Linked DNA regions of Oryzias latipes. The protein of the gene in region 2 interacts with the protein of the main gene of each other region in a biochemical or structural test. Links are inferred from orthologs where the notes say so. Each region holds a gene or a part of one and is shown on either strand. Other genes may lie near its edges. The genes, in order: prkn, ube2g2 and uba6.

Region 1 (3,651 bases), on a different chromosome or scaffold from region 2:
CGCTGTGAGGAGGTTTGACTCAGCCACATGGCAGTTAGATGTCTCACTCACATTATAATTGGCCCTGGCACTACAAACTCCAGATCTGATTGGCTGTTGCACTTGAGCGTGCTCAGTTGGTTCTTAAAGCCTCAGGGAAATTTAGTAGAAGGTGGCTGCACCAACTAGGTGCAATGTGATTGGATAAAATTCACTGATTTATTGATTGGTTGTTTTATACAGTGCCGTTTTGTTCAAGTTTTTGGTTCCCCTGACGTTTTGTCGTCTTTCAAACGGAATGAACTCAGAGGTGGGCAGAAATTCCTACACTTCCATAACTTTTTTTTTTTTGGGGAAACTACGACCAATATCCATAACAAACAACTTCGTCATTCACAGGAATGTGGAACAACTGTTTTTTAAATTCTTTTGCTCAAACAGGTTTGTTTGATGGTTTGAAATTTTCCCTTGTGTTTATAAATCTAAACCCTCCGCTTTGTGTTTCTGTTTGCAGAGGTGACACAGGTCATGCCCTCAAACAGAAAACCAATTTACAATACAACTTCTGTGTGATACGCTGAAAAATGAATCAATAAGTAAGATCTGTGATCTCCATGAATGGTGTCTGCATGAGATTTCATAGCAGTCTTCCATGCTGTGTCCGCAGTGTTCGTGCGCTACAACCTTGGCCCCGGTGTGGCCGTGGAGCTCCAGGAGGGGGCGAGTGTTGCCGAGCTGAAGAAGGTGGTGGGGAGTCAGCAGGGCGTCCCCCCGGAGCAGCTCAGGGTGCTTTTTGCTGGGAGGGAGCTGCAGAGCACCTCCTCCCTGCAGGTGAGGCTGCTGCCTGCTGGGAAAATGAAGGACGCAGGAACTTCTTGTGTCCAAGCAGGAAACCTGCGACTCAGCTCAGTTTGGCCCCACAGGTCAGGACATCTCAACGTTAGGAGGCAGGTTCACCGATAGACACCATCTGAATGAATCAAAAAATGATAAAGTCTTGACGCCACATTTGAAGAAATCTTCTGAAAAGTCTTCGTGTGGATCCTTTTGAAAACAGGGAGATATCCTCAAAAACCAGAGGCTGTCATGAAATCTGAGGCTACTCTCATGGTTGTAGCTCCTTCAAAATAAAAGCCTGTGGAGATTCAGATTGAGCTGAAGCTTTGTTAGGTTGTACTTTGAAGACTTTTTGAGGTGATATTGAGAACTAAACACCATATTCTCCTCTCTCTCCTCCTAGAGCTGTGACCTCCCAGAGCAGAGCACCGTTCACGTGGTCCCTCCCCCTTCAAGATCGTCCTCCTCTCAACTGCTGCTCTTTCAGGAACCTCAAGGCAGCGAGGAGGAGCAAGAGAGCCTTACAAGGCTGGACCTGAGCTCCTCACGCCTCCCCGCCACCCCCGCAGACCTCACAGGTACCCTAAAGGATGGAGAGATGGGGGATGGAGGACAAAGGTTACAGGAGGAAGGTGAACTTATACCTGGGACAAGTAAGTACATGTACTTGTATGTCTGGGTGTGTATAGGTATGTTTGTGGGTGTACAGATGTGCATGCAGGTGTGTTTGCGGAGTTTGTGCAGGTGAGACATGAGAGCCGTATTACAGTCACCTGACAGAGAGGGCGCTCTTGAGTCAGCATTTCAAGTTGTGAAAAGTAGTACAGGTCTTATACCGTTGTGCACCGGTGAGTCTTTGCAGTAATCCAGCTCTCTGTGTGTGTACAGGTGTGCGTAGCCGCAGTTCTTTCTTTGTCTATTGTAAGACCTGCAGGTCCATTCAGCCTGGAAAACTCCGGGTTCGATGCCGGACCTGCAAACAGACAGCGCTCACACTGAGCAGGGTAAGAGCAGCACATCCTGTGTTACTGTTCAGAAAAACCCAGGTTTTGTGTTGTAGTTTGAAATTCTCTTTTCTCAGGCCACCTTGGTAACGTTTACTAAACTGTATGTGGAGTTTAATAGTGTTTAGATTTTTTTTATGTCCCCACTGACTTCCTTTTTTGGTATTTCTAAATTCAACAAGTTTTTGTTCAGAAAAGGAGCATGAGACCATCAAAATGGCGGGATTAACACAACTCTCAATTGTGGAAATTTGCCCATCATAGAAGAAGATTCATTGGTCATCTTCCAGTCAGACGACCACACTGGATTTGTGTTCAGAGTTAATGTTTGTGTTACCCAGTGGTTTCCTAGTGAACTAACCTGGCTCAGTTACTTAACTCTGAACTGCGGGAGCTGATGTCTCACTGAGGATCTCTGTCTTTGTCAGGGGCCATCTTGCTGGGATGATGTTCTAATTCCTGGACGTATCCATGGAAACTGCCAGTCGGAAGGATGCTGTGGCAATGAAGGGGTAAGGCCGGAGCATAACATTGGTAGCTGGGTTTTTTGTGAGAAAATTGTGAACTCTGGTGTTTGGTGGTGATTTCCTTTAGTTCCCAGTGAGCCTGCTTACATGCCACCAAATCCCTTTGTTATCTGAGGTCTCGAGCCATTTTTAGAAAGGATTATCAGATGTCCTCTATCAGAAAATAACGAGATGTCGGATTAATATGCTTGTTTTTTCTCGAAAAGGCGATACCTTCCTTTTTAAATGCCCGCTTATGTCTTCATTGACTTCCTGTTAGAAGAAGTATACAGTGAAGGAGATAAGTATTTGATTTCTTGTTGATTTTCTTTTTTGGTTTGCCTACTTAAAAAGAAATTGACAGTCTGTCATTTTAATGGTAGATTCATTTGAACAGTGAGAGACAGAAAATCAAGAGATCAACTTGAAAGTAGAAATTTCTTTGGATTTCATTGAGGGAGATAAGTATTTAAACCCACTTGCCGAAAATACTAACTGCTTTGTGGCAAAACCTTTATTAGCAAGCAGACAGGCCGGACTTTCCCTGTCGTTGATGAGCAGGTTTCTGCACAAAATTGGGAGGAATTTTGGTTCACTCGTCTTTGCAAATGACTTCTAAATCCTTAAGATTTTGCAAAATTGTCTTCTCTTCATCCCCGATTTTTGAAAAAGCTTTTACTCAAAGTAATTGCGTAGCAGACTTCCTGTTGAATGAGGAAAATAAGCTGCGTATGTGCTTTTATGGTTGCAGGAGTTCTACATGAAGTGTGCTTCTCATCCAACTTCGGATGATGACGTCTCTGTGGCTCTGGACCTCGTCATGATCAACAATAAAAACGTCCCCTGCATCGCCTGCACCGACATCATGTAACACACATGCAGCAGCGCTGAGCACTTCCTGTTTCGCTGTGATTTAGTATTCTGCAGAGATATATGGATTTAGCGATGGATTTAGGTCAGAATTGCATGTGACGTTTGTTTACGTGACCTATATAGAGCCAATCTGCAATCGTAGCAAAACCACACTATCTAAAGTGGAAAATGGGACACAAACACGATTATAAGTCCACATCCAAAGTACATGAATTAAAAAGATGCATTCTCTCCATCTCCTTTCATGTTGTCTCCATCTCCTCTTTGAAACTCTAGCTTCATGTATTTGTGTGGAAAGTTGTGTCGGTGAACATCTAGCTAAATGAAGACACAAAACTGCGGCAATCCTGTTTCATGTTTGGAAATCACATTTCGTGCACTACTATCTATTCCTCAGTGTGTTCTGCCACAAACACCCGCAAAGCACACTCATCAAAGGCAAACACACTAGA
Region 2 (3,005 bases):
GACTGTTGGCGAGGAGTAAGCCTGTGCTCATGTCCCATCATCCCTTTGTTTACATTCTCTCCCGCGAGCCCATCACCAACCCCAACCCAACCAGTGCGACAAAAATGGCAAGTATTATTGGAGCTATCCAGACGTACAGTTTTAGGCCAGATTCCAGCTCGGACGAGGAAAACGAAGGATCTATTTGTTTGCAAGTGGATGCATCAGAATGCAGTGAAGCAGGGAGCTTTAGACCAACTGATTATAGTATTTATGTAACAACTACAAGCTTTTTCAAAGGACATCTTTATCATCTGCTTCTGAGTCAGCACAAAATGGATAAAGAAATACTTGCAACAAGTTTTCTTTAAATAAACTGTAATCCTAGTAAGATTACTCAAAGGTCTAAAATCTTAGTTGTGCTTGAAAGCTAAACACCTGACTTTAAGAAACTGTGACTTACAGATCAACCTTCAGACAGGGTTTGAGGAGAATCTGAAGGATCCAGAACTTTGAAGAGTCTTGTGTTGTCTTGTCTTCCTCTTTGCTCACCTCCTTCCTGGTTGACTGAAGTTATGCAGCGATTCACGGCTGCAGATTCCCACACTTCCTCACATTTTGCAGAGAGTAAACCAACATAACAAGCACCTCACTCTTTCATTGCCTTTATTGATCTATTTGTGAAATCAGACAAATCCACAGGAGACGTTGCAGCAGAGCTACGACGGCCCGGCTGTGAAAGCCCAACTGCGCATCGTGAGGATCCTGCGTCACGAAGACAGACAGTCTAAAAAGTCCGAAGAAGTCCAACGCCGCTGTGACCACTAAAGCAAGAGTCTGGGGGAGGAGACTAGCAGAGGAGGTAAGAAGACATGCAGTGTACGGCTGCTGACGCGCCTTGACGAGCACCCTCCCATCAGTCTGTCCATGTCAGCGGCTCTGTGTGCTGGTGGTTTCCATGGTGATGGTCTTTCACCGACAGACGCCCTGACGAGACGTCCTCCTCATAAACCCAGAGACCTGCGGACGATCTTCTGAGCCAGTTTGTTGAACTGCTCTCTGTCCTCGCGCCACATTTTCGAGGCATCGACGTTGGCGCCGCTCTCATCGTTGGGCTCTGAGGACGACAGGTTGAATCTGTGAATGGCGCCGAGTCCCTGCTGGTGTCAGACGCAAACGAGTTCCATACCTGCCAGCATGCTGACCACGGAGAGCAGGATCTTCTCCACGCTCTGGACTGGACTCCACCTTTCGGCGCTGCTCTCGTAACCCATGGGATCGTCACCCGGGGCGTGGAGGATAGAGATGCACACCCGTCCGTCGGGATAGACTGGGGCGGGGGAGGAGAACGCTTTAGTTCACCGGTTCTAGCTTCTCTGAACTCTTAGCAACTTTTTTTTTAAACTGCTAAATGGGATTATATTTCATTTCGTATCGTCTTTTATTTTTTTACACTCTCTCCCGTTAGCTTACAGCCCCTCACAACCCCAAGCTGAGAGGTGCAACAAATATGGTGAAAAATGTTGGATGTTTCCCGCCGAACAGTTTTAAGGACGTTCATGGATCTAGTCGTCCAGAAGTGTGTGCATTGGAAGAGAGTGGAGCAGTGAGACTTTAGCCTGCCCCTTGGAGTTTCTACATCACAACTGAGAGCGTTTTTGTTTTGTCATCTGCTCCTGATTTACCATGATTTAAATTAATAAATACTAAGAAAGGCAGTTACAAGCTTCGATGCTCTATGTCCTCTATCACAAGAAAAATGCAACAAAAACATTTTAAAAACACCAAAACCACATATTCTATTGGAGTGGGTCTTTAATCTGATCCTGTTTGGACCCCCTCCCCGTGCAGGGGGTTTCAGGGCGCTGCCGCTCGGTCCAGCTGCAGGAAATCTCCTCTGAAAACCGAGCCGCTGTTATCGGCAGCTTCCGTTTCATCTTTAACAGTTGCAGCGTGGAGTTCGGCTCAGGGCCATGCTGGTGAAGATGAGCGACAAGCACTTCGTCTTCTCATCAGCACTGAGCGCGCTCAGAGCGCTCGTGTCCTGACATCACGGCTTCGGCCCCACTAATCAGAGAGCGGTAAAAACACGCCAACAGCAACAAGCTCTGGAGCGTGCCGAGACAAGTCTGCAGACGGGCTAAGACACAAGACGTGTGTGTGAGTGGAGGTGTGTGTGTGTGTGTGCGTGTGTGAGTGTAGGGGTGTGTGTGTGCGTGTGTGAGTGGAGGTTTTAAGATCCAAATTTCAGTTTTCCTGAGTCATCAAGAAGATGAAATCAAACGTTGCTCCATCACAGATACTTAAAGCGGTCGCAGGTTTGTGCGCTCAACATCTGTTGCCATGGTGACGAAAGCAGGCACAAAGCCGTGGGCGGACTCACTGTTGGGGTGAAACATGTCACAGGTGAACCTCATCTTGGGAGGACTGAGAGGATAATCGGAGGGGAAGCTGAGGACAGCGGGGAACACTCCGCCTTCGAAACACGTGTCTTCGGGGCCCCTGAAACACAAACGCACATGCGGCGGTGAGAGCCTCACAACGCCAAACACCAAGAAAACGCAACAACGACACTGGAGGCTAACCCATCGCCTGGAGAAGCTTCAAACTCCGTGAAACACCAGAGAGCGAGGACTTGTGGAGAGGATCCTACAGACCTTGTAGTTGGATCCTCCTGCTGCTACTGTATTCCTCATGGCGTAATAAAAACGAACAGCAAGAAAATCAGCAACAAGTCTCAGAAGACCGTGTTGGGATAAAATAGAGTCTCCACTATTTTCTGGTCTTTGTTGTGGAAATGTTGAGAGCTTTTCTCCACCAGCTGATCTTTCAGGGTATGTCTAGACTAGGAAAATCCTTTGTTCCGGATCGAGTCCTGAACCCTGCGTTTGGTCTGTATTCAGACTGGCATCAAGCGGACCATTCTGCTCCGGACCAAAGCTTTGGTACGGCAGAGGCACGCTGCAAGGCAGGTCACTGGCAAGGAGGCGTGGCGCGCGAGGATATTAGCAACTGCAGTGATGAGG
Region 3 (4,292 bases), on a different chromosome or scaffold from region 2:
CCGTGTGGTGCCATTGAGCTCCACCATGCCATTGATTTCTCTAAAGATAACGCTCTGGCCCGTCTGCAGACCATGGGGTTGGTTGTCTATGCAAGTAACCACCCCAGAATTGTCCTGAAAAAAATATGGAAAAAAAAGAAGAAAAGGACAAGTTCAGCAACAAAACAAAAATATCAGGATAACTGATTAGATAACTTTATGTAAATTCCAAGAGGCATAAGCAGAGGAACAGGGAGGAGTCTTAATTTGAAGAACAGAATGTGAAAGTATTATGACTACCTGAGTGATACTTTGGATGAAAATCTCCTTGAGCTCCTCCCCTGTGGGATCCGAGACCTCAAACGCTTCTCCGAAATCACAAAAGACCCGGACACAGATTCCATAAGCGTCACTAGAGATAAACTAACACAGACATATTTTTTATTTTAAATAAACCGTTTTTGTTATAAGTAATATTGATCTTGGTAAAACCAGGGGAATGACTGTAAACTCACTCTTATGGGAGGCTGCTGGGAGTGGCAGAACTTATTTATTCTCTTCTGCAGGCTCAAGCTGGACTCTGTCAAAATCACACACTGCAGGGGAAAGCACAGCAGTCAGTATATAGTAATACCTTCAGGAATACAGGAATAATCTTGTCTTAAATTATGACAAAAATTTTCTTTCATAAAAGTTGACAGTACAATTTAATATAAAGCTGCCAATAGCACAAGAGCATTTGCAGATTTCTTGCTGATCTGACGTTTTTTCTGGAAAAATTCAACAAACTAGTCCAAGAACAGCATAACGTCTTCCAAATGTAGGTGGTGGACATGTGCTAGTAAACAGTAGCAAAAGAAAAAGCAGAAGAAGCCTCTGCCAGCTTGTCCAGTGTGAACACCCAAATGTGTGTTATAGAACCCAGGTTTAGGCGCCACACACGCTCGGTGTGAACATAACATAACATAAAATATGTCGACTTACCTGATACTTTTTGAGAAAACTCAGGTCAATGTTGTCATCCAGGGGACAGGAGGACATGTCAACATGAACATAAGGGTTCAACTCCCCAACACGAGGGCACACTGCTTCCACCCTGTAACAGGCAAAACAAGAGGCTGAGTATTGGTACACAAGACAAAATCCACAACAAAAGGACAGAAAAAAAAAGAAAAAACTTTTTCATAAGTAACGATAAGATCAAGTGGCTATTAACTAATTTTCAAGTTCTCTCATCTAGGCTTCTACGCATGTTATTTAGTAACAAATGAGTTGACAAAAGCCATGCATAGACCTGAGTTTTTGCTGCACCTAAAGTCCTACTCCGATCATCTTTTGATCTATTCAAAACGTGTTCCCAGATGTCTTTTAATTATGATCATGCTATTTTTTTTCTGGGACACAGTTTCTACAGGGCAGTAGTAGTTCATTTTAATAAATAACAAAAATATTCAGAAATGCAGTATAAAGCCTAATATTTTTTTATACATGCCCTCCATCATGAGAAAAATTGCCACAAAAACAAATTAAAAACACCAAAAACCTGATTTTTAATTGAAGTGGTTCTTTACAAACCAATTCATAATCACATATAGCAGTTAATCATCTTTAGAAACCAATGCTTGGACTTGCAGAATGCATTATTACCTCTTCCTCTGGTTCAATACGTCATCTCTACGGATGAAGAAGTTACACCCCAGATCCCAAGTCTCACACAGTTTCGTGTCATGGAGAGTAACCGTCTGTTTAAAAATAAAAAATATATATATAATAAAACCCCTTAACTAAAAAAAAAAAGACATGTTTGCTATTTTATTACAAGAAAAGTTTAAAAGCCCTCTTACCTTCACACCTGCCAGAGTTATATTCTTGGCTGTAAGAAGGAAATGATTGAGTATGATTTTTTTTTTTTTTTTTTTTTTTGAATCTATCAAAGATAAAGAGTTGTGGTGCAAACGTGTGTCCTCTTCTCTTGCTCACCTATCTCCACTCCCAGTGCTCCCATTCCACTAAGAAAGACAGAGGACTGGGCCATCTGCTGCATGGCACCGTCTCCAAGCACATATCTCTGGCGGCTATTAGGAAGCACATAAATAAAGATGTTAGCTACACTCACCAAGGAGACAGACAGCTGCACGTGGAGCTTCAGGTCATCAGAAGAAGAAAAAAAAGAACACCAAAAACTGCACTTGCCTGTAAAGTGAGTCGTCAATCTCCATCAAGTCTGCAGCCATGCTGGGAGGAAAAGGGCTGATTCAGCCGGTTTAAAGATAGCGACTCTACCTTAAGAAGAAGGTGCACGTAACAAATAGAAAGTTGATATCGAAGATGTGAGACACTTTAGTGTAAATAGATGCAATGTGGACCAACGCCCTATTTATTAAAAGTATAGCTTGGCGGCTAGCTGACATTTGATGGGAGGCAAGTTGTCAACAGTAACAGTTCACGGTTAGAACTCGTTACATAGGACTTGTTCTGATCAAATGTTACAACGACTACAAATTGTTTATAATGATCGCGCATGCTCGTTTCTAATCTCGAGAGGAAAAAGCAACGTTAGCCACAAGCTAGCCACGGATTTCACTTCTGCCCAGTTACCGGTAGCGAGGACAGCCACCGTAAACTCATAAAAAGTGGTGACACACATTTGTTAATATAATATGCAACTTTCCGGGTTGTTCAATCTTTTAGAGAGATCTCCAACTCAGCGAGGACAATGTAGGTTTTATTATTTATAGAGTTAAAAACTAAACCCAAACGACTTACGTTAATAGCTGACAGTATGCGCGACGGTCCTCGGCGAATGAATGGCTGTGAGTGGTTGAAAATTTGAAGTGGTTCCGGGTTACAGTAATCACGTGATAGCAGTCATCCAATCATGTCGTGGTGATTAAAATGAGTATTACAGTACATAAACTAATACTAATAATAACAATAATAAACTAAATCTGCATATTTTTTTTAGCAGAACGGCATCATCTTAAAAAACCCTATTGGTATTAATACGTACCATTACATTGTGTTTGATCATATTGTTTTTCCAGCTATTTCCACCATCTGTACTAAATTATCTAAACAACCCGGAGGAGATTGTTCATCTTTGCAGTCAAATAGAGGATGACAGGCAAAAACAACCTGTCTTTTTTCAGATTCAGAGCTGCCAAGACAATATTGATGCACACATGCTCTATTCAGTCAGTCTATCAATCTTTTTGATGGTATACTGTATCTTTTTTGTGTTGTTTATTTGTGTATTTATGTGCTTTGTAGGATATATCAATTTTGTCCCTTTTTATTTAATTTTTATGTACTGATTTTTATCAAAAACCCTTTCTTTTTTGTATGATCATTTGCACTTTGACCTGATTTGACTTGGGTAAAGAATGAGGGTTTGATGAACTGGAGAAGCTGGAGAAATAGAACAGAACATGTTTGGGTGCTGTACTGTTTAGAGAAGCAAAGGTCAACAGTTTGGTGAAACATTTACATCCGTTCAACTCCTGTTGCTCTACAAGACAACGATGACGAACACACAATAGTAACTGTTACTTCAAGTTTTGAATGCATTCTTGTTTGCATATAATTCAGTCTAAAAGGCCTCTTTCCTATTTTACCCTAAACAAGAAAAAGCCCTGACTTGCATTTGTCAGAAAACTATTTTTCAACCCTGGGCACCTTAGTCTGAGAGGCACCCTCCCTTTCAGCATATTGGTCAAACTCCCACAGGAGCCCCCCACCCCCCTGAGCTGCAGCCAAAACTAAGTCTGAAACAGACTGAACTGCGTTCATCTTCCAAAGGCTTGCTCTTCTTTGGCAATGTGGGGCAGTCGCATGGCACTACGTCGGCTCCAGAAAATCGCTGTTGCTCCCCTGAGCATCAAAGAAGGCGTACCAAGTAACGTCCAGAGAGAAATGTCCACCCTCCAGCGGGTGTATGTGACCCGACAGATCCCGCCTGAGGGACTGAAGATCCTCAAAGAATCAGGACAGTAAGTTAGAAAAATATGTCTTTCTGAAATGTCTTTCATGCTGCTCACTGATATTGAAGCACTTTCAACAAATTTGTTTTGTAAAGATCCCCATTTTTAGAGGAAAACTTTTAATGTTTGCATTTGAAATTGTAAGATTGCAAATTCCATAACCTCTTTAATATATCTATATCTTAAATTTCCAAATATTTAAAATAGAAATTTTGATGGTACATAGAACAATGAGGCCTCCGTGTTTTTGAGTTTGTTCATTTCAACCCATTATGCACTTCTGACCTCTGCGGCTGATGACGACATATTGGGGTTGCTTCAGATCTGTGGTTT

Evidence for each region.
Region 1: the proteins of ube2g2 (region 2) and prkn form a complex in vitro, tested with the Homo sapiens proteins (6 studies listed by BioGRID). The link is inferred for Oryzias latipes from reciprocal best matches to the Homo sapiens genes UBE2G2 and PRKN.
Region 3: the proteins of ube2g2 (region 2) and uba6 form a complex in vitro, tested with the Homo sapiens proteins (2 studies listed by BioGRID, with this or other methods). The link is inferred for Oryzias latipes from reciprocal best matches to the Homo sapiens genes UBE2G2 and UBA6.

The regions. Positions count from the first base shown.
Region 1 is NC_019873.2:12,964,778-12,968,428, forward strand, and holds part of prkn (E3 ubiquitin-protein ligase parkin), read left to right. Parts: intron 1-646; coding exon 647-810; intron 811-1,219; coding exon 1,220-1,469; intron 1,470-1,704; coding exon 1,705-1,820; intron 1,821-2,248; coding exon 2,249-2,332; intron 2,333-3,077; coding exon 3,078-3,193; intron 3,194-3,651. UniProt on the Homo sapiens protein: Functions within a multiprotein E3 ubiquitin ligase complex, catalyzing the covalent attachment of ubiquitin moieties onto substrate proteins. Substrates include SYT11 and VDAC1.
Region 2 is NC_019879.2:26,800,979-26,803,983, forward strand, and holds the end of ube2g2 (ubiquitin-conjugating enzyme E2 G2), read right to left. Parts: intron 2,482-3,005; coding exon 2,363-2,481; intron 1,310-2,362; coding exon 1,169-1,309; intron 1,097-1,168; coding exon 984-1,096; 3' UTR 629-983; downstream 1-628. UniProt on the Homo sapiens protein: Accepts ubiquitin from the E1 complex and catalyzes its covalent attachment to other proteins. In vitro catalyzes 'Lys-48'-linked polyubiquitination. Involved in endoplasmic reticulum-associated degradation (ERAD).
Region 3 is NC_019859.2:12,642,366-12,646,657, reverse strand, and holds the start of uba6 (ubiquitin-like modifier-activating enzyme 6), read right to left. Parts: upstream 2,830-4,292; 5' UTR 2,746-2,829; intron 2,263-2,745; 5' UTR 2,214-2,262; coding exon 2,173-2,213; intron 2,055-2,172; coding exon 1,960-2,054; intron 1,853-1,959; coding exon 1,824-1,852; intron 1,722-1,823; coding exon 1,627-1,721; intron 1,076-1,626; coding exon 964-1,075; intron 576-963; coding exon 495-575; intron 403-494; coding exon 280-402; intron 115-279; coding exon 1-114. Other genes in the region: glyoxylate reductase/hydroxypyruvate reductase, read left to right, coding at 3,796-3,968. UniProt on the Homo sapiens protein: Activates ubiquitin by first adenylating its C-terminal glycine residue with ATP, and thereafter linking this residue to the side chain of a cysteine residue in E1, yielding a ubiquitin-E1 thioester and free AMP.